3 linked regions of the Stegostoma tigrinum genome follow. The protein of the gene in region 3 binds, or shares a complex with, the protein of the main gene of each other region. Links are inferred from orthologs where the notes say so. Each region holds a gene or a part of one and is shown on either strand. Other genes may lie near its edges.

Region 1 (7,832 bases), on a different chromosome or scaffold from region 3:
TCCAGGATAATGTGACATCGCCTCGGCCCGACATTTTGAGGATTAGCAGATCCTTCTATGCCGGACTGTACGACACGAAGCCCACGGACTGCACGGCCTCCGAGTCGTTCCTGTCGTCTATCACGGAGGTCTTAGACGATGGCACGAGGGAGTGGCTGGACCGGCCGATATCCCTGGACGAGCTGACCAGAGCCCTCAAGTCCTTGGACAGGAATAGGACTCCCGGGAGCGACGGCTTACCGGTCGAGCTGTATTCTGCTCTGTGGGACCTGGTCGACCAGGACCTGCTGGAGGTGTATGATAGTGCGCTTCGGGCGGGGGAAATTTGCAAGTCCATGAGGAAGGGCATCATCACCCTCATTTACAAGAGGAAGGGGGAGAGGGAAGAAATTAAGAATTGGCGTCCCATTTCATTATTGAATGTGGACTACAAAATCCTGGCCAAGGTCATTGCCAACCGGGTCAGGTCTGTCCTGGAGTCAGTGATTCACCCTGACCAAACTTGTGCTGTGCCGGGCAGGAAGATCACTGAGAGCCTCGCACTCATCAGGGATACGATCGCCTACGTGCAGGACAGGCGGGTGGACACCTGCCTCATCAGATTGGACCAGGAGAAGGCCTTCGACAGGGTCTCTCATGCTTACATGAGGGATGTCCTCTCCAAATTGGGGTTCGGGGAGGGCATCCGCAATTGGATCCGGCTGCTCTACGCCAACATCGTTAGCGCAGTCTCGATCAACGGGTGGGAATCGGACAGTTTTCCTGTTAGATCTGAAGTCAGGCAGGGCTGCCCACACTCTCCTGCCTTGTTTGTGTGCTGTGTGGAGCCCTTCGCCGCATCCATCAGGAAGGACATGAGCCTGAAGGGCGTGACTATCCCAGGCAGCGGAGGACTTCAGGTCAAGACCTCCCTGTACATGGACGATGTTGCCGTCTTCTGCACCGATCGGTCGGTGAGTAGACTGTTGGACATCTGCGGCCAGTTTGAACTGGCCTCGGGTGCCAAAGTCAATAGGGGTAAGAGCGAGGTCATGTTCTTCGGGAACTGGGATGACCGCTCCTTCATCCCCTTCACCGTCAGGACAGACTACCTGAAGGTGCTGGATGTTTGGTTTGGTGGAGCTGGGGCGTGCACTAAGACTTGGGAGGATTGTATCACCAAACTGAAGCAGAAGCTGGGCAGGTGGACGCTCCGGTCCCTCTCCATCGCGGGTAAGAACCTGGTTGTCAGGTGCGAGGGGGCTTTTGGTACTGTTATATATGGCGCAGGCCTGGCCTATTCCCTGGGCCTGCGCCGCTGCGGTCACCCGGGCCATCTTCCACTTCATTTGGGGGTCGAGGATGGACCGGGTCCACAGGGACACCATGTACAAAGACCTGGGAAATAGGGGAAAGGGCGTACCGAACGCCACCCTCGCCCTGACGGCTACCTTTGTGTGCAGCTGCATCAAGCTGTGCGTAGATCCTCAGTACGCAAACACCAAGTGTCACTACTTACTGAGGTTCTACCTGTCCCCGGTGTTGTGAAGGATGGGCCTGGCCTTGTTGCCGTGGAACGCTCTGAGTAGTTGGACCATTCCGTACCACCTGTCCTTCGTGGAGACATTTTTGAAAGGAAACACCTTTGACCACAAGGCCGTCAGGCAGTGGTCTGCACGTAGTATCCTCAGGACCCTTCGGGAAAAGGAGAGGGTGGATCCCGTCGTGTAGTTCCCCACGCAGACTGCCAAAGTCATTTGGCAGAATGCCTCATCGCCAGAACTTTCAAACAAGCACAAGGACATTGCTTGGCTGGCGGTGAGAGGGGCTCTGCCAGTGAGATCCTTTATGCATGCCCGGAATCTCTGCACCACCGCACGCTGCCCTCGAGGTGGCTGCGGGGGGGACAAGACTGTCGACCACCTCCTTCTGGAGTGTGCCTATGCGCAGGAGGTCTGGAGGGGGATGCAGTGGTATTTGTCGAGGTTCGTCCCAAGCAGCTCCGTGACGCGTGACTCCGTGCTCTACGGGCTGTTTCCCGGGACGCACACCGAGACCAACATCAACTGCGCCTGGAGGACCATCAATGCAGTGAAAGATGCTCTTTGGTCTGCCCGCAACTTTCTGGTCTGCCAGCTGAAAGAACTGACCCCGACCGAGTGTTGCAGACTGGCGCACTCCAAGGTCCAGGACTACGTGCTGAGAGACGCGCTAAAGCTTGGGGCAGCCGCCGCCAAGGCGCGGTGGGGAAAGACCATGGTATGAAACCCCTCGTCCAGAATAGGAAAAAGGGCCCTATCCTGTACCTGGGCCCAGCTGGTGCCTTCCCCAACTGGTCAGGGGGCCAACGGGGACTGTGCGGGGTGACAACCGCCGGGGTATTTTCTTTGCTTTGGTTTTTTTCTTCTTTGTTTTTTTTCCTTTAGTTGGTGTATGTACCCCCTGGGTATCCCGAAGCAGCTTGCATGACTGGGTAGGTGTATAAATATGTTTTATTTTTTGTACATTTTATGAATAAAGCATATTTTTTCAAATAAAAAAAAGTGACGAAATGTCTGAAAACGTACCTTCCAGCTCAGCGAGCAAACTCACATCCAGAGCCTCAACCTGAGCTACAAATCTTCTCAAAACTCGCTATTACCTGGCTCTCTGGATTAACAGTTCAGCGATAATACCACAAGGCCATCACCCCGCTTCCCCCCTAATTTAAGGTACACCCACAACACTGTCACAGAGTCAGATAATGCAGAAACAGACACTTCGGACCATCCAGTCCATGCCAACAATAATCCCAAACGAAACTAGTCCCACCTGCCTCCACTCTTAGCCCATATCCCTCCAAACCTTTCCCGATTCATGTCCTTATCCAAATGCTTTTTAAACGTTGTAACTATCCCCAGATCCACCTCTTCCTCAGGAAGTTCATTCCACACACGACCAATCTCTGCGTAAAAAACATTGCCCATCACATCCTTTTTAAATCTGTCCTCTCTCACCTTAAAAATATGTCCCTTGGTCTTAAAGTCCCCCATCCGAGTGAAGAATCACCTGTCATTCACTTTATCTACACCTCTCATGTTTTATAAATCTCTGTAAGGTCACTCCTCAACCTCCTACACTCCAGTGAGAAGAGCCCCAGCCTATCCAGCCTCTCCTGATAACTCAAATGTACCATTCCCAGCAACATCCTCTTAAATCCCCTCTGAGCCCTCTCCAGATTAAGAAATCCTTTCAACAACTGGGAGACCAGAACCAGACACAGTGCACCAGAAGAGGCTTCACCAACGTCCTGTACATCCTCAGCATGACGTCCCCAACTCCTGTACTCAAAGGTCTGAGCAATAAAGGCAATTGTGCGAAACGCCTTCTTAACCCCCTGTCTACTTCAAATAATGGGGGACCTGAACCCCGAGATTTCTCCATGACCCCTGGGCCTATTTTTATTGGTATAATTCCTGCCCTTATCGGTTTTACCAAAATGCAGTACCTCACGTTTACCAAATGAAACTCCATCTGCCTCTCCTCAGCTCAGTGACCCAATTGGTCAACAGTACTAGAGATAATGGGAACTGCAGATGCTGGAGAATTCCAAGATAATAAAATGTGAGGCTGGATGAACACAGCAGGCCAAGCTGTGTTCATCCAGCCTCACATTTTATGGTCAACAGTACTCTTTGGGTGAAGATGAATTTCTTCACTGTTCATGACACCAAGTTTGATGTCATCAACAAACTTACTAACCATGCGAGGGAGGGAATTCCAGGGATTCTGACCCAGCGACACTGAAGGAACGTGGATATATTCCCAAGTTGGGATGGTGAGGGGTTCGGAGGGGAATGTGCAGGGGGTGCTGTTCCCATGAACCTGCTGCCCCTTGTCCTTCTGGATGGAAGTGGGTGGTGGGTTTGGAAGGTGCTGCCTGAGGGTCTTTGGTGAGTTTCTGCAGAGCACCTTCTGTGTCGCACCCGGTCCCTCAGCACTGACCCTCCGACAGTGCCCTCTCCCTCAGCGCTGACCCTCCGACAGTGCCCTCTCCCTCAGCGCTGACCCTCCGACAGTGCCCGCTCCCTCAGCACTGACCCTCCGACAGTGCCCTCTCCCTCAGCACTGACCCTCCGACAGTGCCCGCTCCCTCAGCGCTGACCCTCCGACAGTGCCCTCTCCCTCAGCACTGACCCTCCGACAGTGCCCGCTCCCTCAGCGCTGACCCTCCGACAGTGCCCTCTCCCTCAGCACTGACCCTCCGACAGTGCCCGCTCCCTCAGCACTGACCCTCCGACAGTGCCCTCTCCCTCAGCGCTGACCCTCCGACTGTGCCCGCTCCCTCAGAACTGACCCTCCGACAGTGCCCGCTCCCTCAGCGCTGACCTCCGACAGTGCCCGCTCCCTCAGCACTGACCCTCCGACAGTGCCCACTCCCTCAGAACTGACCCTCCGACAGTGCCCTCTCCCTCAGCGCTGACCCTCCGACTGTGCCCGCTCCCTCAGCACTGACCCTCTGACAGTGCCCGCTCCCTCAGAACTGACCCTCCGACAGTGCCCGCTCCCTCAGCGCTGACCCTCTGACAGTGCCCGCTCCCTCAGCGCTGACCCTCTGACAGTGCCCGCTCCCTCGGCGCTGACCCTCTGACAGCGCCCCCTCCCTCAGCACTGACCCTCCGACAGTGCCCGCTCCCTCAGCACTGACCCTCCGACAGTGCCCGCTCCCTCAGCGCTGACCCTGAGCCGGTGACGATGGGGATGAACTACAACTCCCAGAGCACCCCGCGGCCCCCAACAGTCATTTCGCGAGTGTCTTCCGTTTTGTTAGTTGCCACGTGACAGCGGTCAGAGGGCAGGAGGAGAGTGAGGCGGGACCGCGGGACACAAGCCTCGGGTGGGAATGGAGGGAGGATTAGACCGGGGATGGGAGCACAGGGCTGGGGGAGGAATGAGAGGGTTTCGAGGAGTGATGGCGGGGGGGAGGAGTGATGGCGGGGGGGAGGAGTGATGGCGGGGGGGAGGGGTGAAGAGGGTGGGGGGGTGAAGAGGGTGGGGGGGTGAAGAGGGTGGGGGGGTGAAGAGGGTGGGGGGGTGAAGAGGGTGGGGGGGGTGAAGAGGGTGGGGGGGTGAAGAGGGTGGGGGGGGGAGGGGAGGGGTGAAGAGGGTGGGGGGGGGAGGGGAGGGGTGAAGAGGGTGGGGGGGGGAGGGGAGGGGTGAAGAGGGTGGGGGGGGGAGGGGAGGGGTGAAGAGGGTGGGGGGGGAGGGGAGGGGTGAAGAGGGTGGGGGGGGTGAAGAGGGTGGGGGGGGGTGAAGAGGGTGGGGGGGGGTGAAGAGGGTGGGGGGGGGTGAAGAGGGTGGGGGGGGGTGAAGAGGGAGGGGTGAAGAGGGTGGGGTGGGGGAGGGGTGAAGAGGGTGGGGTGGGGGAGGGGTGAAGAGGGTGGGGTGGGGGAGGGGTGAAGAGGGTGGGGTGGGGGAGGGGTGAAGAGGGGGGGGTGGGGGAGGGGGTGAAGAGGGGGGGGTGAAGAGGGTGGGGGGGGGGGAGGGGTGAAGAGGGTGGGGGGGGTGAAGGAGGAGGAGGGGGGGGGTGAAGGAGGAGGAGGGGGGGGAGTGTTGGGGGGTGAAGGAGGAGGAGGGGGGGAGTGTTGGGGGGTGAAGGAGGAGGGGGAGAAGGGGGGGGGAGGAGGGGGGAGAGGGAGTGTTGGGGTGGGAGGGAGTGTTGTGGGGGGGAATGTTGGAGGGGGGTGAGGGGAAGAGTGTGTGGGGTGGAGTGGTGGGGGTGGAGTTGGGTGGTGAGGGGGTGAGATGTGGGTGGGGAATGTATGGTGAGAGGGGGGTTGCGAGTGGGGGAGAGGTACAGCGGGTGGGGGGTTGGGGATGGGTGGTGAGTCGGGTGGAGGTAGAGGGAGGTGGGGATGTGGTGAGAGGTGGGTGGGGGTTTTGGGATGGGAGGTGAGTGGGGGAGAGGTAGAGGTGGGGGAATGGGTGCGGGGGCGGAGATGGGGATGAACTGCCTGCTGTGCCTCGCAGATGTTTCGCTGCCGGTTTTACTTGCTGTTGATTAATGAGGTCCCTCTGATTCCCTACAGGAAGGCAATGGCGGCCGACTCAGTGATCACTGTGGATCTGAGTTCCCTGAAGTTCTCCGCCAGGGACCAGCTTCACTTGTTGCCTGTTGCTATCGAATCTGACGGCAGTGCCAAAGTGGAGCAGTACTTCAGCCCAGCTGTGCGGCACAGAGATGGGGGTAAGGCTTTGGCTGATTGCTCAACCTGGAGGGTTGCACCCATGACCACAACTCCAAGCAAACTCATCCAGCACAGCATTCAGGCCATTCTGCCCATCCAACCTGTGTAGATTTTCTGAATGATCTCTCTCATTCTTCCCTGCTGGTTCCCCTCCTTTTGAAAGTTCCTGTTGAATCTGCTTGCTCCCCCCCCCCCCCCCACCCTTTCAGGCAACACACCCCAGATCAGAACTCACTGCTTCAAGTAAAATATTCTCCTCATCTCTCCCCCCACCCCTTCCTTCAGGGTCTTTTCCCTCCATTTTCTTTGATCTGTATCTCTCTAGTGACCTATCCAAGATAGCAGACCTGTTCCAGGTGTAACCCAGCAACAGGGATGGGCCAAGGCAGGGACGTGCAGGCTATCGTTGGACATATAAAAAAAAAGGTAAATTTCTCTCAGAGTTGCAGGTGTCCTATCGAGGCCGAGCCTTGCAAGGTCGGGATCTTCCTGTGCCCCCTGGATATGTTGGACTTGTTCTGAAAGAGGACCATAAACCGTGCCTGGAGGAGGAGGTGAGACAGCACTCAATATTCAACTGTGAGCGCTCACCCGAGTCTAGGAACATCACCCAGTGGTGGAAGTTACATTCCTTTACAGCCTCCAACAGCACAGCGCTCCCTCGCTGCCAACCCTCCGACAGCATGGCGCTCCCTCAATGTTTACCTGTTGGTTGGCTCCAGTTACGTGGCTCATGTTCCTGAGGTGTACTGAAGCTGTGACCTCTAACTGAGAGGTGCCTATTTGTTAATGCAGGGTGACCTGCGCTGTTGGTGGCAATGTTTTGCTGGAAATGCTCCCTGCTCCTCATCAGGGCCAATATCTTTCCAAAATGACAACCTAAATATCATTCAATGAAATGTCACTTAAAACTTTTACTGTGATTTGCAGGACCGGAACGTCAGTGTTAAATCATCTTTCTCTTCAGTGACTTACTGGAACCTGGGATCTCCCCCAGCAGAAGACGACAGCGTGGTCATGGCGATGGGCTGGACTCAGATTGCAGAAGCTGTAAATCATTTATTACTTTAATCCCTTCAAACCGGTATCAACTTTCAGAACTTCAAACACGGAGACTCACTCCTGAGTCCCAAAACCCTAGGGAAGGAGCAAAGGCTGAATGGGTTAAATAGTGAGGGTGAGATGCACAGACAGGACACATTCCCTCGAGAGGCAGGGGTTAGAATGTGATCCATTGAGGGGTTTATGATGATTGAAGAATTCAGTTGTACCCGTAGAGAAGTCTTTGGTTTCCCTCTGGTTCAGCCCAAGCTGCAGAATCTTCCCCTTTAAAGTCAGCAGGTATGACGTCCCTTCTAGGGGTGAATGGCTTCTTGTTTCTATGTAGCAGGCAAGAGAAGAGGCTAAGGTTTTCCTCCCATTTCTGTGACCAGCAGGAGCACTGATATCTCAATTTTTAATATACTTCTAATTGACCTGTTCAGAAATGTTATTCAACATCTCTGGAGCAGATGGGACTTCAACCCCAAGTCACCTGGCTCAGAGTTAAGAACACTACACCTGTTCCACAGGGAACCCAACTGCCTTTCTCTGTCTTTGCCCTAACTGAGGGCAGGGCAGCACAAC
Region 2 (7,653 bases), on a different chromosome or scaffold from region 3:
TACTATAAAATGCAGCAAGTCTCATTTGCCTCCTTGTACCTCAGCCTGTTCTTAAAAATTGCTCTGTAATTAATTCCACTCGCTTGCTATTTTCCCATAATCCAGAAAATGTTGCTTTTCCAACTATCTATCCAACACCCATTTGGAAAGTTATGACTGAATCTGCTTCCACCACGTAGTCAGCACATCCCCGATCATAACAACCTGCTGCATGAAAACATTTCTCACCTTCTCCTTAGTTCATTTGTCAATTATCTTAAACGTATCATCTGGGAACAACAGTTTCTCCTAGTTTAATTAATCCAGATTATACACAAGACACTTGTCTAGATTTTGAAACTAACCCTGCTGCATTTAAAATAAATTGGTGTTATTTCAACATGTGGACTAACCAATGAAAGACTTTGAGGTAACAAAGTGTGGAGCTGGATAAACACAGCAGGCCAAGCAGCGTCTTAAGAGCACAAAAGCTGACGTTTCAGACCTAGACCCTTCATCAGAAAGGGGGGAGGGGAAGGGGTTTCTGAAATAAATAGGGAGAGAGGGGGAGGCGGATCGAAGATGGATAGAGGGGAAGATTGGTGGAGAGGAGACAGACAAGTTAAAGGGGTGGGGATGGAGCCTGTAGAGGTGAGTGTAGGTAGGGATGTAGGGAGGGGATAGGTCAGTCCAGGGAGGACGGACAAGTCAAGGGGGCGGGATGAGGTTAGTAAGTAGGAAATGGAGGTGCAGCTTGAGGTGGGAGGGAATAGGTGAGAGGAAGAACAGTTTAGGGAGCGGGGATGAGCTGGACTGGTTTCGGGATGCAGTGGGGGGAGGGGAGATTTTGAAGCTTGCAAAATCCACATTGATACCATTAGGCTGCAGGGTTCCCAAGCGGAATAGGAGTTGCTGTTCCTGCAACCTTCGGGTGGCATCGTTATGGCACTGCAGGATGCCCAGGATGGGCATGTCATCTAAGGAATGGGAGGGGGAGTTGAAATGGTTCACGACTGGGAGGTGCAGTTGTTTATTGCAAACCGAGAGGAGGTGTTCTGCAAAGCGGTCCCCAAGCCTCTGCCTGGTTTCCCTGATGTAGGGGCTTGTAGGGTACAGCAGATGCAGTATGCCACATTGCCAGAAGTGCAGGTGAACATCTGCTTGATGTGTAAAGTCTTCTTGGGGTCTGGGATGGGGGTGAGGGTGGAGTTCGAGAACCATTTCAACTCTCCCTCCCATTCTTTGTGTTCTAAGGCCCTCTCCTTAGACATTCCCTACCATGAGCACATCAGCAAGGAAAAAGGTTGTCAAATATTTTCAGCGCATACCTGCACCACTGGTCTGGAGCAGGGGTGTGAAAAAAAGCTGAATATCATTGGCAAGGTAATTAACAAGCATTATTAGTCATTTTATTCCACCACCTAACTCATTAAATGCACCAAGCAGTAAATGACTTTAGAACAATCTAAAAACAAAATAAAACAGTGCAATTGTTCAAAGAGAGCAATAAATTGTTGCTAATTACTGTTAATCTCTTGTCTATTCTTTTCTATTTGGCAGTACAAAGTAATAGGCAAACGTTTCCACTTCAACAGGAAAGCCCCAAAGTGGAACAGCGTTTTCAATGTTGTTAGCAACTAACAAAAGAGAATTTTCTGACAGATTTATTGGCTCAAGAAGTCAGTTGATCTTGCAGCATGAATTGTGCTAATCTTAAATTAGCTGCAATTTTTTGGCAGAAGCTGTTAAATTTGAAGTAGATGATACATTTCGAATACTACATTTGCTAAACAAACTGAATGTTCGAATCAAGCTCCTGTTTCAGTTGATTTCGTTAACTCTCCAGGATCTTGAGGTGATGTCTATAAATATTCAGTACAAGTTTTGCAGCAGTGCAAGCAGGAGTATCAGTATCCTTACAGGCAGATATCATGATCAAAGACTGAGGCACCTGAAGCCATTTCCTCTAGGTCACACCCCCTTTCCCTCCATTATTCATTCAGAACTAACCATCTCCCCCTCCACATTTGCCCAGCCCTCACCAACCCTTTTCCCACCACTACAGCCACACTCAAATTGATCCTCCCCCTTTGTTCCTTTGGGCTTTCCCCAGGCCTCCATTATTGACCCAGCACTCGCCCTACCCTCTCCTCCGTTTGCCTAATCCTGGCCTCTTAAGCCAGACCTACACCCACTTACCCAATCAGTTAGCCCCTCCCTCACCCCTCATCCCCAATCTTAGGCCTTCCCCCAGTTATTCAACCAGGCCTTCCTCCTCTCCGAGACCACCACTCAACTCAACCCTTCCCCTTAACTACTGACCAACCCCTGCCATTCACAGCTATACCACTACCCGATTCACCCAGTCCCAACCACTCCCCAATTCCCCTTAGTCCTTGCCACCCTCCCTGTATTAGTCCCTCCCCACAGACCCAGATCTCCCCCAAATTCCTTGTCCCTCTGCTTTCCCCTCCCCTTCTCACACTCCCCCAATCCAACCATTACTCACGCACCCACCTTCCCACCCCTCCCCGATTCAAATCCAGGCTTCTTCCCACATCCCGCCACCACAGATCAGCAGCGCACCATCTCCACCAAGAACTACTCCACAAGCCCCATCTCCCAGACCCGCCCCCACAAGCCAACGCCTTCGACCCACTAGACCCGCCCCTACAAACCCCAAGCCCCACACACACACACACACACACACACACTCAGGGCCCTGGACAGGACACCCTGCCCCTCCTCCACACCATCCTCGCCCCTCCCCCAACCAAATACCCCGCCTCTCACCCAGCACCGGTCCCCTTCCCGCTTCATCGATGCCCAGGCAGCAATCTTCAGTCCGACAGGCGGCGGGCACCTTTGATACCAGCCGGTAACTTTTACTGCTGTCCTCCTGAAACTCGCTCAGGTCCATTGCAAAATTATAACAACAACCGCCAATCTTAAATAGAACAATGGCTGCGCTTTTAAATGTCTCGAGAGCAACCGCCAAACTAATCTCTCCCGCGCTCAGCGGCAACCTGCCCTTTGACCTCTGATGCCATCCTGAACGCCACTTCACTCAGTTTTGTTTTTATTTTAAAAATCATGCTGTTGAAAGATACAACAAGTTCCACACTGAGCATTTACAGAAAGCTCTATTTTCACAAATTTAAATTTTGATTTCGTTTGGTGTTCTGCTCGTCACTAACTGGGTGCGCATGTGCAGTTCTGCGCAAAACCCCCTGGGAGTTGTAGTTTTAAAGACTCAGAACCAAATTTCGTTTTAAATAGCGATTAAAAACCGAAAGAAGTGTGGATGCTGTAAATCAGGAACAAAGGCAGACGTTGCTGGAGAAGCTCAGCAGGTCTGAAGGAAAAAAAATCAAGTTAATGTTTGGGGGCCGGTGACCCTTCCTCTTAACTGATGGTAGCTAGGAAAAAGATAATAAAATGTGAGGCTGGATGAACACAGCAGGCCAAGCAGCATCTCAGGAGCACAAAAGCTGACGTTTCAGGCCTAGAACGTTTAGGCCCGAAACGTCAGCTTTTGTGCTCCTGAGATGTTGCTTGGCCTGCTGTGTTCATCCAGCCTCACATTTTATTATCTTGGATTCTCCAGCATCTGCAGTTCCCGGGTAGAGGGTGTAAATAATAGGATAAAGGGCAGAGGACAGGGAGGGCTATGGGGTAGAGGGTGTTAATAATAGGATAAAGGGCAGAGGACAGGGCTATGGGGTAGAGGGTGTTAATAATAGGATAAAGGGCAGAGAACAGGGAGGGCTATGGGGTAGAGGGTGTAAATAATAGGATAAAGGGAAGAGGACAGGGATAAAGGAGTTGATAACGATCTGGTTGGGAGGGTGAATGACTTCATCAGGTTCTAGACCCAAAATGTCAGCTTTTATGCTCCTAAAGTGCTGCTTGGCCTGATGAGTTCATCCAGCTCCACACTTTGTTATCTTGGATTCTGCAGCATCTGCAGTTCTCATCATCTCTTGTTATTCTCCCAGCTTGTGCTGAGCTTTGCTGGAGGACTGCAGCAAGCCTGTGAGAGAGATAGCAAGAACTGCAGATGCTGGACTCCGAGACAACACCGTGTGGATCTGGAGGAACACAGTAGGCCAGGCAGCATCAGAGGAGCACGAATGTTGACCTTTTGGGTTGGGACCCTTCTTCAGAAATGATTCGACCTGAAATGTCAACTTTCCTGCATCTCTGACGCTGCCTGTCTGACCGTCAGTGTTCCTCCAGCTCCACACTGTTTTATATCTGAGACAGATGTCAGCCGGGGGTTAGGGTGGCAGGCAATTGGAAGGACACAGTCATTTTTGCAAGCAGAACACAGATGTTCTGTGAAGCGATCAGCCAGTCGACCATTCATTTTGCATTGCCTTTGTGTTAAGTATTGAAATTGGAAATAGTCCTCCAACAATAAAATAGCTTACAGGGCTCACATAATAATGAACTCAACATTGGATTGTGTTATGTATATTTATATGATATCAAGTGATGCTTTTTCATATCCAGGATTTGCCCTTGATCTCATTTTAAGGTTCTCTGAACTTCAAATGTTCTTATGAATTATTCCACCTGAAATATTAGCCCAGATTCCCCTTTCAAATGCTGATAAGCCCTCTCTGCATTTCCGTTTCATTTCAGATTTTCAGCATATTGCTTTATTTTTATCTGCAATAAAATCAACTACCTCACAGTTACCATGGGAGCAACATGTCGGCCTTTTCAGATGGATGTTGACTGAAGTGTCTTTACGCTGTTCAAAGAGCAGGAAGCAAGGCTCCCAGTGACTCAGCCAACATTTTCCTTAAACTGTATACCAAGCTAATTAACTGTTCATGCATTTGCTCTTTGTATTTCAAACTTGGCTATTCCAATGCTGTAGATGGTCCACCATTTTCTACCATCCACAAATTTAAGTTTCTCTGCTACCCATATCCTAACTAATGTGATGTTACATTCAAACGCTGGTTTTTACTGCCATCCAGTCTGCAGACTACTTGTTACTAAAAATGTTCAGAATCACACTCACCTCCCATCATGATCTCATTCCTTTGGATCTCTGCAACTGATTTAGACCTAATACCACTCCCTTACCCCACAATCCATGTATGCCTTTCACTCTTTTCCATCAACTGTTGATTCCTCAGCCCCATGCCCCCCCCCCCCCCCCAATGTCCTCACCTCTTCTTCTTTAAGACAACTGTTAAAGCCCCGAAACGTCAGCTTTTGTGCTCCTAAGATGCTGCTTGGCCTGCTGTGTTCGTCCAGCTCCACACTTTGTTATCTTAAAGCCTAGCTTTTGGTCATCTAGTGCAATATTTTGCTGATGAGGCCTGGTTTCGGTGTTTTGTTGGATGAGACACTTTTGAGATATTTTAAACATAATGCAACAAATAGATTCAAGATTTTATAGGATATTACCAAGACAAAATAGCTGCCTAACTAATCACATTATCTGTCAAAAATAATTGTGTATAGAGTTTCGAAACAATATAAAGCGGCAAAACACCATACTCTGCTGCCTCTTATTTTCTACCTTTGAAACTGCATCAAAAGGTTTTTTTTTTAATTCATTCATGCGATGTAGGCATAGCTGGCTTGGCCAATGTTTATTGCCCTTCCCTATTTTTCCAGAGAAGGTGATGTTAAGTTGCCAGCAAATTGCTGCAATTCAAGGTGTGCAGATCCACCTACAATGCTGTTAAAGGGGAGTTCTAGGATTTTTGACCCAGCAACAGTGAAGGAAAGGCGATATAGCTCCAAATGAACCCTTTAACCTTATTTATCAAAGCAAACAGGATTTTTCATTTTCTTTCCAACAATGTTGCACTGGTGATGAGAAAATACATAACTTGTTTTCCTTTAGAAATTCGAGATCATAGAGTGCCATCAACTGAGGATCAAGCATCAAAACTTACTTTAACTAAATCTTTTGAGTATTTCCTAATGTTGCCCTCCAACTCAGAGCACAATGATGGTTAAAATCAGGAACAAACATTTTTTCCTTGTGTGTAACATGGACATGGAAGAGTGAACATCAGCACATAATTGAGTATCAGCCTGAAAATTCTTCCAACAAACACAAATGACAGGCTGAAAGAATGAGAGAAATTCTTTGTTAGCTGTGTAATGGAAAGAACCTTGAAGCTTCTACCATCTCTACCTAACCTTTTTATTGATGTAAGATGACTAGAAGCTAAAGAAAAATACCATGAGTAGAATTCCCAATTCCAGGGATTGGATCCTCCAGCACTACCTCTGCAGCCCAGTGGTGAACTCAAATGCCTTTGAAATAGAATATCAAGAGCTCAAAATGCACTCCAGATTTGAGCTCGTAATCCAGATTGCCATTCCAGTGCAGTACTGAAGGAGTGCTTCGGTGTTGCAGGTGACAATTTTCAGATGAAATGTTAAACCAGTTAAGGGTCTATCTGTCTTATCATCAGGTCATAAAAGATGACGTGGCATCAAGTTGAAGAAGATCAGGGGTATTCTCCCATTGTTATCCCTCATTGTTAACATCAGGTTATTATTCACAAACACAAAGTTGCTGGAAAAGTTCAGTGGATCTGGCAGCATCTGTGAAGGAGAAGACAGAGTTAACGTTTCGGGTCCGGTGACCCTTCCTCAGAACAGAGGAAAGGTCACTGGACCGAAAACATTAACTCTGTTTTCTCCTCCACAGATGCTGCCAGACCTGCTGAGCTTTTCCAACAACTTTGTTTTTGTTCCTGATTTATAGCATCCACAGTTCTCTTGGTTTTTATCAGGTCATTATTGGTGTTTATGGTGTGTGCAAAGGTGCTGCATTACAGCTTACTCAGGGAGTTCCACTTGCTATGACAATATTCATGTTGCACTCTGGACGTTAGGTATAGATGGTAGAAACTTCAAGGTTCTTTCCATTACACAGCTAACCAAGAATCCCATTCTTCCAGCCTATCATTTGTGTGTGTTGGAAGGATTTTCAGGATGATACTCAACAATATCAGGTCCAACAGCAATCTGTTCTTCTGTCCAAAGAAGAGTCATATTGGACTCCAAATGTTAGAACTGTTTCCATCCCCACATATTCTGCCAGAACTCTTGAGTTTCTCCAACAGTTTTTGCTTTTGTTTAAGATTTTCAACATCTGCAGTATTTTGATTTTATTTGATAATAAACCTGTTTGGCCACATCATGAATGCTTTTCTTGGCTATCATGTCCTGTATTATGACTCATACACTTCTGACTCAGAGACAGGGACAATATCCACTGTGTGCATGATACCTGCTCCTTATGACGAAAAACTGTGCACAAATTGACTGACTTGAATCCCTGCATTACAACAATGATTGCACATTGAAAAGTGTGACTTCAATTTCTTTCGAATTGTGAAAGGTCACAAGTAAGAGTAAGCTGTTTCCTTGAAAAGTAATTATAAATAAAACTACGGCCTGGGTTTGTAGATAGACCTTATTCTAACCCATACAGGCCCAATTCTTCAAGACTGTACTTCGTCTTTAAGTTAGTATTCCCTAACAATGCCAGCATGCTTCTTTACAACAAGAAACATACTGGCAGCTGTTGTTTCTCAAGTGTTTGCCACAATTCAGCAAGTATTCTGCTTATTGTCCCCTTATAACCACAGCTGACACGATCTCTTTCACCAAAGCCACCATCACACC
Region 3 (8,033 bases):
AAAATTAAAACAGTGCCAGTTGCTTCCTGTACAGCAGGACAGGAGCAACAAAATCAAAACACAATCTGCACCGTTATCAGAGAACAATAAAGCATCCCTGCTGAAGGCATACTGAGTGCTTCATAGAGTTGCACACCACAGAAACAGAAACTTCAGTCCAACCAGTCTAGGCCAACTGCTTGTGCCTGTGCTTGGCCCTTATCCCCCCCAAACATTTCTTATTTACGTACTTATCTAAATATCCTTCAAGCATCATAACTGTACCCACATCCACCACTTCCTCTAGAAGTTCACTGCACACACGAACCACTCTGTTAAAAAAAAACTGCCCCTCACGTCTTTTTTGAATTCCCCATCCTACGCAAAGACACCTGCCATTCACCTTATCTATACCTCTCATGATTTTACAAACTTCCATCTATAAAAGGTTACCCTTCAACCTCCTACACTCCAGTGAAAAATGTGCCAGCCTATCCAACCTCTCCTTACAACTCAAACTCTCCATTCCTGGTGAATTCTAGTAAATCTTTTCTGAATGATCTTCAGCTTAATAATTTCCTTTCTATAACAGGACGACCAATGCTGGACACAGTACTCCAGAAAAGGCCCAACGAATATCATGTACAATCCTAGCAGAGCGTCCTAACACAGCATCCCAACACCTATACTCAAAGGTCTGAGCAATGAAGGCAAGCGTGCTAAATGCCTTCTTAACCACCCTATCTAGATGTAATGCAAATTTCAAAGAATTATATCTCTGAACTCCCTGGTCTCTCCACTCTACAACAATACCCAAGGCCCAACTTTTCATTGCATAAGTTCTGCCCTTGTTTCTTTTACAAAAATGCAATACTTCACATTTATCCAAATTAAACTCCATCGGCTACTCTTCAGCCCATTCACCGAACTGGTCAAGACCTCTTTGTAATCTTAGGTAACGTTCTTCGCTGTCCACTATACCATCAATTTTGGCATCATCTGCAAACTTACTAACCATGCCTTCTATATTCTCATCTAAATCATTTGTATAAACAGTAAACAAAACTGGAGCCGGCACCAATCCCTACGGAACATCGCTGGTCACAGGCCTCCAGTCTGAAAAATAACCTTGCACCATCACTGTCTGTCTGCTGTTATTAAGCAAAGTTTGTACCCAATTGGCAAGCTCATCCTGAATCCTACATGATGTTACTTTACTCATTAGTCTGCCACGTGGAACCCTGTCTAATGTTTTACTTAAGTCCAAGTAAACAATGTCTACAATGCCCTTATCAAACTTCTTGATTATTTCCTCAAAAAAAGTTCAATTTACTACTCTGGAATTAATCCAATTTGGAAACGTGAAAAGTTCAGAATTGACAACAACCAGCTGTTCCTCAAAACTGGCTTTACACCTTTGTGTAAAAAATACATAAAATCTACAATCAATGTATATGACTGCAGCAATATTGGCAATGTGGTATCAATTTCCCAAGCAAGCTAATGTATTAAGTTGCTACCAAGAAACAAATGAAGATGGTTTACCACCTCTTCAAGAGCAATTAAAGGATGGACAATAAATTCCAGCCCTCCCAAGAATGAATTAAACTAAATAAATATTCACTCCCTCTGAAAATCACATCCAATACCTAATGTAAACTGCATGACTTTGCAATTCCAGATTAAACTGTGTGTCAGCATACTAGGAGAGGCTTACAGTGCAAAACATCATCTGCTAAGGAGTCTGCCACAGGCATATGATTACACAGGAGCTGATGAGGACCTTTACTCATCACGAAACTTTCAGTTTATACAATACTTTGCAGCATTACTACTATTCAACTTGATTTTGCCAGTGACTACACTATTGTTTAGACATTCCTGTTCTGCTACATAAGTCTTTTCTTTATATTTATATAAATTTCTCATGTTGCAGTTGTGTTTAAATTCTGTAATCTTGAAACACATTATAATTGATGAACAAATGTATATTTAGGAGAAACAATATATTTCAATACCTTCATTTAGGGACTGCGTGATAATGCATAAAAATCAATGTCCTTCAGATATAGTAAAACACTTAGCAGTTTTTTGGTACTTATAAGAACTTAACATGAAAATGTTAAATATTTCACATTTTCAAGTTCCCTGGTTTCAGAGGAATGAATCTGTTCCTCAATGTCCTGGATCAGAGTCATTTGCAGAAAATATTGGATCAAGGTGGCACATTCAGTTCCTTCACCCCTAGAAAAACAGGCATTCACTCCCTCCGATCCTCACGCTGTTCTAGACTCTAGGATTGTACATATTATGTAAAACAGTCAGAATTCATGCTGTAATCTGCAGAGACTTGGCACAAGGAGCGTCTTTAACTACATATGCCAAAAAACAAGACAGGAAACCAAACCAACACGCTTACTGAAAATCTCCTAATTGAAAATACAGAAAGTATTTGCATTTATACAGGACCTTTCCCCATCTCTAGTTGTCTTTGCGACTAATGATGCACCTTTGGAAATGTAGCCACCATTGCAGTGAAGAGAACTTGGCAGCCAATTGCCACACAGCAAGATCCCATAAACAGCAACGAGATAAGTACCGCAAGCCTATTTTTAAGAGAGATTGGACAAGACACCAGGGAGAATGTACGCCTGCTGTGACTCTGAGGTTTTATTTGTGTTTCCCGGAGAGGGCGGCAGGGGCCCGAAAACACAGCGCTCCCTCAGGATTTTGTGACCAAATCTCTGGGGTGGGATTTGAGCTCAGGACCAGGATCTGAGGAGACAGTGCTACCAACTGATTAAAACCTTGCAGTCCAGCCAACGCCATTTTGCGATTACCTTGTACCAACATCACCCACTGGTCAGAGTGTGAGTCCTCCTTTGAGTTCCGCTTGCTAGGCATGGCAGACCTCGCCAAGCTGGGTATCTATTCAGTGACACAATGTTACAGCTCCCCTTCCTCACATTGAATGGCGCCAACCTACCCCAGCTCTTCACACAGCAGAGCGAGGGGGAGGAGGGAAAGCACCCAGCACAGTTATTAAAAAAAACAGACACTCCTGGCCAGCAGGGAGGCAGAGAGGCTTTAAAAATGTATACCACAGCGTTGGTCTTATTGTGGAGTTAAACCATCAAAGAGCCAGCGACGATGGGAATTGAATGAAAACGCGCGCCCCCTCTCCTGTGCATGGGATGGTACAATCCTAATTAAAGGAGCCCTGCACCCAAAACACCGGACAGGGCAAAACTCCAGTTATAGCAAGAACTGCAGATGCTGGAGTCCCAAGTCAGGTCCGGACCCCGGTCAACTGTCCTGCTCCTCTTTACAACAATACCCCAAGTATTCTGCGTTCCTCACTCTCCACACTGTGTTGACAGTGCAAAGCTCATTGGGTTATCGGAGGAGCAGCGCAAGGGAAAAAATAAGCTGTCAACAAATTGTGTAGCAATTAATGAATGATTCTGATTATTGATCTATGGAATGTGCAAGTTAGTAGCTACAGAGGTTTTGCACTTTAAGCCTCAGGATTTTCACAATCCTCCCCCTTTACATTATTTAAGTTAAATCTTAATAAAAGCTCCTCCGTCCATTGATATGTATGGTGTCCCGACGAATCGAAGAACTAGGATTGCTTGTTTAAACCAATCAGTAGATGGGAGGTAATAAAGTGTGAAGCTGGATGAACACAGCAGGCCACGCAGCATCTCAGGAGCACAAAAGCTGACGCGGGCTTAGACCCTTCATCAGAGAGGGGGATGGGGAGAGGGTTCTGGAATAAATAGGGAGAGAGGGGGAGGCGGACTGAAGATGGAGAGAAAAGAAGATAGGTGGAGAGGAGAGTATAGGTGGTGAGGTAGGGAGGGGATAGGTCAGTCCAGGGAAGACGGACAGGTCAAGGGGGCGGGATGAGGTGGTAGGTAGGAAATGGAGGTGTGGCTTGGGGTGGGAGGAAGGGATGGGTGAGAGGAAGAAGAGGTTAGGGAGGCAGAGACAGGCTGGGCTGGTTTGGGGATGCACTGGGGGGAGGGGACGAACTGGGCTGGTTTTGGGATGCAGTGGGGGAAGGGGAGATTTTGAAGCTGGTAAAGTCCACATTGATACCATTGGGCTGCAGGGTTCCCAAGCGGAATATGAGTTGCTGTTCCTGCAACCTTCGGGTGGCATCATTGTGGCACTGCAGGAGGCCCATGATGGACATGTCATCTAAAGAATGGGAGGGGGAGTGGAAATGGTTTGCGACTGGGAGGTGCAGTTGTTTATTGGGAGGGGGGGTTTATTAGGTGGGAGGGTTCAATTGCGGGGAAGTTTTATAACTTAAAAAAGAACAAATAAGAGGTGCAGGGTCGTGAAGATGCAAGCGATAATCAATCTGTGATAGGGAGGGATAGAAAATATAAGCAGAGTGTGGGACATATATTAAAATCAGCGTAAGTAACAATGGTTAAAAAGTCAACCGTTATCTTTATCTGAATGGACGCAGCATTTGTCAAAACACAGATGAGTGGACAGCACAAATAGAAATCAACGAATGAAAGCAAAATACTGCAGATACTGGAAAATCTGAAACATACATGGATAACACTGGAGAAACTCAACTGATCTGGCAGCATTTGCGGACAGAGAAACCGAGCTAAAGTTTCGAGTCTGGGGCGGCACGTTGGCTCAGTGGTTAGCACTGCAGCCTCACAGCGCCAGGGACCAGGGTTCGATTCCAGGCCCGGGTGACTGTCTGTGTCTGTGCGGAGTTTGCACATTCTCCCCGTGTCTGCGTGTGTTTCCTCGGTGCACCGGTTTCCTCCCACAGTCCAAAGATGTGCAGGCTAGGTGGATTGGCCATGCTAAATTGCCCGTAGTGTTCAGGGGTGTGTGGGTTCTAGGGGGATGGGTCTGGGTGGGATACTTCAAGGGGGGGTGTGGACTTGTTGGGTCGAAGGGCCTGTTTCCACACTGTAGGGAATATAAAATGACACTTCAAATCTCTGTGGAATGGATGCACTGGATTGTGTTTCGGAGTCAGTTTGAGTGGAAATAAGGAAAAACAAAGGATAGAAGTCACAGCTGGGAGTTAACTCATTGCAGGACTAAGTATAAGTTGGAACATAGCGGAAATGTGTAATAAGGGCATTACAATTAACTTGGCTCATATTAACTAGGAAAATCAGATGGGAAAACGTAACATGGAAGATGAATTCTGGCCATAATCTTTCCGTCTTTTGTGGATTCAGGGGTGGTGCCAGAATTGCAAATATTATAAATATCCCACTCCCATTCCTTCCCTTTCCTTTAGCTTTGCTTGTTACATTCTCAGTCACCACGTCCTCTCTCCCCTCCCTCCACCCACTAGAACAGTCTGTTCTTCCCAGTCTTTTCTGATGAAGGGTCTAGGCCTGAAACGTCACCTTTTGTGCTCCTGAGATGCTGCTTGGCCTGCTGTGTTCATTCAGCTCCACATTTTGTGATCTCGGATTCTCCAGCATCTGCAGTTCCCATTATCTCTGTTCTTCCCAGTCTGGCAGTCAGACACACCATTATTCTGTCATTCTCACATTCCGATCACTTAACCTGCTCTATCAACATCCTTTCTCCCCAGCACTGCACACCCTCTCTCCCCAACTATTCCATAAATGCTGATCCTCCAGACTTCATGTCAGCTTTGATGAAGAGTCACCTAAACTTGAAAAATGAGCTTGCTGTCTCTCTGTAAATGCTGCCTGATCTGCTGTGATTTCCAACAATTTTTGTTTCAGTTCAAATATTAGACTTGTTCAAGTAAAGTTGTGGAGATAATCCTAGCAAATACAGGCCAAAAATTTAATGGTGGAGAAGCCTCGAGAAACAATTAATTTGGATAACATTAGTAGTCACTTGAAAAACGGTGGGTTGATTCCGTAGAATCAGCATACATTTTTAAAGGGAAGGTATGTTTAATTAACCTGCTGGAGTTTTTTTGTAGAAGTAACATTCAGGCTCGAGGAAGATAACACTGGTGCGATGTACATGGATTCCCAGAAGGCGTTTGACACAGTGCCACACAAGAGACATATGAGGAAAATTATATGTCATGGTATGTAGTAAAATGGATAAAAACTTGGCTGAGTGATAGTAAATACAGTGGTAGTCAATGGATATTTATCTGACTGGAGGGAGGTTTGTACTGGAAGTCTGCAAGGGTCAGTACTGGGAGCTTTGCTTTTTCTGATATGTATTAATGGTTTGGATCTTGGTGTGTAGAGGACAATTTCAAAGTTTTCAGATGACATAAAATGTGGGGGAATTATAAAGTGTGAGGACAGTGTGGTATCCAAAAGGACATTGGCAAGTTGGTGGATGAATAGCAGATGAGGATCAATGCAGAGAAGTGTGAGGTGAGGCACTTTGGTAGAAAGAATATTGAAAGATGTCATAAATATGAGGTATAATTCTAAAGACAGGGTAAAAGCAGAGGGGCCTGGGTGTATTTATATACAGATCACTAATGGTGACAGGACAGGTAGAGGGAGAACGTAATAAGGCATACAGTGTTCTCAGCTCTATTAATGGGGCCAGAGTGTACAAGAGCAGGGAGGTGATGTGAACTTGTGCAACACACGACTTAGACCTCAACTGGACTATTAGGTACAGTTGTGAGCACCACACTCTAGAAAAGAAGCAAATGCATTAGAGAGAGTCCGGGAGTGATGTACAAGAATGGTTCCAGGAATGAGAAACTTCAGTTATGAGGACAGACTGAAGAAGTTGGGACCAGTTTCCTTGGGGAGAAGAAGGGTGAGACGAGATTTGACAGAGGGTTTCAAAATCACGAGTGGGCTGGATAGAGTAGATAGGGAGAAGAGCTGTTCCTGCTCATAAAAAGAGAAAGGACAGGATGGCACAAATTAACAGTGATGTACAAAAGAAGCAAGTGCAATGTGAGAAAAATCTTTTTTCACGCAGTGAGTAGTAAGGGTATAGAACGCACTGCCTGGAAATGTGGTGAAGACAGGTTAAATTGAGGTGTTCAGGAGGGCATGGATGATTACCTGGATAGAAATAGTCTGCAAGGATCTGGGGATAAAGCAGGAGATTGACACTTGTAATGATGCTAATTTGAAGAGTGCAGGCACAATGGGCTGAATGGTCTCCTTCTGTGCTGTAAAAATTAAGACATAAGACAAGAAATAAGACGTAGGGCAGAAATTAGGCCATTCAGTTCATTGAGTCTGCTCCACCACTCAATCATGGCTGATAAGTCCCCAGCCCCATTCTCCTGTTTTCTCCCCGTAACCCTTGATCCCCTTGATAATCAAGAACATATCTGTCTCAGTCTTAAATGTACTCAATGACCTGACCTCCACAGCCTTCTGTGGCAATGAATTCCATAGATTCACCACTTTCTGGCTGAAGAAGTTTCTTCTTATCTCCGTTCTAAAGGGTCTTCCCTTTACTCTAAGGCTGTACCCTCAAGTCCTAGTCTCTTCCACATCTTCCCACTATGCACTCTGTCCAGACCGTTCAGTATTCTGTAAGTTTCAATTATATCGTCCCTCATCCTTCTAAACTCCAATGAGTATAGTCCCAGAGTCCTCAAACGTTCCTCATATGTTAAACTTTTCATTCCTGGGACCATTCTCGTGAACCTCCTCTGAACCTGCTCCAGCACCAGTACATCCTTCCTGAGATATGGGGCCCAAAATTCTGTGATGAATTTGAACAGTGCATCAGGGATTGTTTCTCAGAACTATACATCACTGAAGCTATTTGGGAACAGGCCTGTTTAGGTCTAATAATGTATAATGAGATGTGATTAATAACTGATCTCATTGTTATCCCCTCTAGGATCCATAACTATCTCAAAATAGAAGAATTTCAAATTTAGTTTGAGGGAGTGTTACACAAGTTAAACAAGAATACTGACAGATATATGAAGCAAAAGTTATCTAAAATTGACAAAATGGGCAAGTCAGTGGATAAGCATTGACAGACATTTAAGCAGATATTTCATAATACTCAGCAAAAATTTGTTCCAATCAAAACAGACTTGATGAGAAGGAAGAATCACCCATTCTAAACAA

Evidence for each region.
Region 1: the proteins of rnaseh2b (region 3) and rnaseh2c are in contact, whole or in part, in a crystal structure (PDB 3PUF), measured with the Homo sapiens proteins. The link is inferred for Stegostoma tigrinum from reciprocal best matches to the Homo sapiens genes RNASEH2B and RNASEH2C. Residues at the interface, in NP_078846.2 of Homo sapiens: Arg14, Gln15, His16, Val17, Phe18, Leu19, Val20, Ser21, Glu22, Leu24, Leu35, Met36, Phe37, Val38, Lys39, Leu52, Glu62, Lys64, Phe66, Glu68, His70, His71, Ser72, Trp73, Phe74, Ile75, Asn76, Gln77, Ser78, Val79; in NP_115569.2 of Homo sapiens: Ile9, His12, Arg13, Val14, His15, Leu16, Ser18, Ala27, Thr28, Leu29, His30, Leu31, Leu32, Pro33, Cys34, Glu35, Val36, Ala37, Val38, Asp39, Gly40, Pro41, Ala42, Pro43, Val44, Gly45, Phe48, Phe63, Val75, Pro77.
Region 2: the proteins of rnaseh2b (region 3) and rnaseh2a are in contact, whole or in part, in a crystal structure (PDB 3PUF), measured with the Homo sapiens proteins. The link is inferred for Stegostoma tigrinum from reciprocal best matches to the Homo sapiens genes RNASEH2B and RNASEH2A. Residues at the interface, in NP_078846.2 of Homo sapiens: His16, Phe18, Lys39, Asn42, Gly48, Ala49, Ile50, Val63, Lys64, Val65, Phe66, Lys67, His70, Phe74, Val79, His86, Phe87, Val183, Tyr211, Gly214, Leu215, Asp218, Tyr219; in NP_006388.2 of Homo sapiens: Val227, Phe228, Ile253, Trp254, Glu255, Ser284, His285, Tyr287, Phe288, Arg291, Gly292, Leu293, Glu294, Ser295, Ala296, Thr297, Ser298, Leu299.

Annotation. Positions count from the first base shown.
Region 1 is NC_081395.1:3,960,440-3,968,271, reverse strand, and holds the start of rnaseh2c (ribonuclease H2 subunit C), read left to right. Parts: upstream 1-4,783; 5' UTR 4,784-4,855; intron 4,856-6,047; 5' UTR 6,048-6,054; coding exon 6,055-6,205; intron 6,206-6,647; coding exon 6,648-6,760; intron 6,761-7,136; coding exon 7,137-7,256; intron 7,257-7,832.
Region 2 is NC_081388.1:17,345,471-17,353,123, reverse strand, and holds the start of rnaseh2a (ribonuclease H2 subunit A), read right to left. Parts: upstream 3,016-7,653; 5' UTR 2,900-3,015; coding exon 2,773-2,899; intron 2,178-2,772; exon of another isoform or gene 1,913-2,177; coding exon of another isoform or gene 1,900-1,912; intron 1,530-1,899; exon of another isoform or gene 1,505-1,529; intron 1-1,504. UniProt on the Homo sapiens protein: Catalytic subunit of RNase HII, an endonuclease that specifically degrades the RNA of RNA:DNA hybrids. Participates in DNA replication, possibly by mediating the removal of lagging-strand Okazaki fragment RNA primers during DNA replication.
Region 3 is NC_081365.1:70,977,003-70,985,035, forward strand, and holds the start of rnaseh2b (ribonuclease H2 subunit B), read right to left. Parts: upstream 3,069-8,033; 5' UTR 2,884-3,068; coding exon 2,820-2,883; intron 1-2,819. UniProt on the Homo sapiens protein: Non catalytic subunit of RNase H2, an endonuclease that specifically degrades the RNA of RNA:DNA hybrids. Participates in DNA replication, possibly by mediating the removal of lagging-strand Okazaki fragment RNA primers during DNA replication.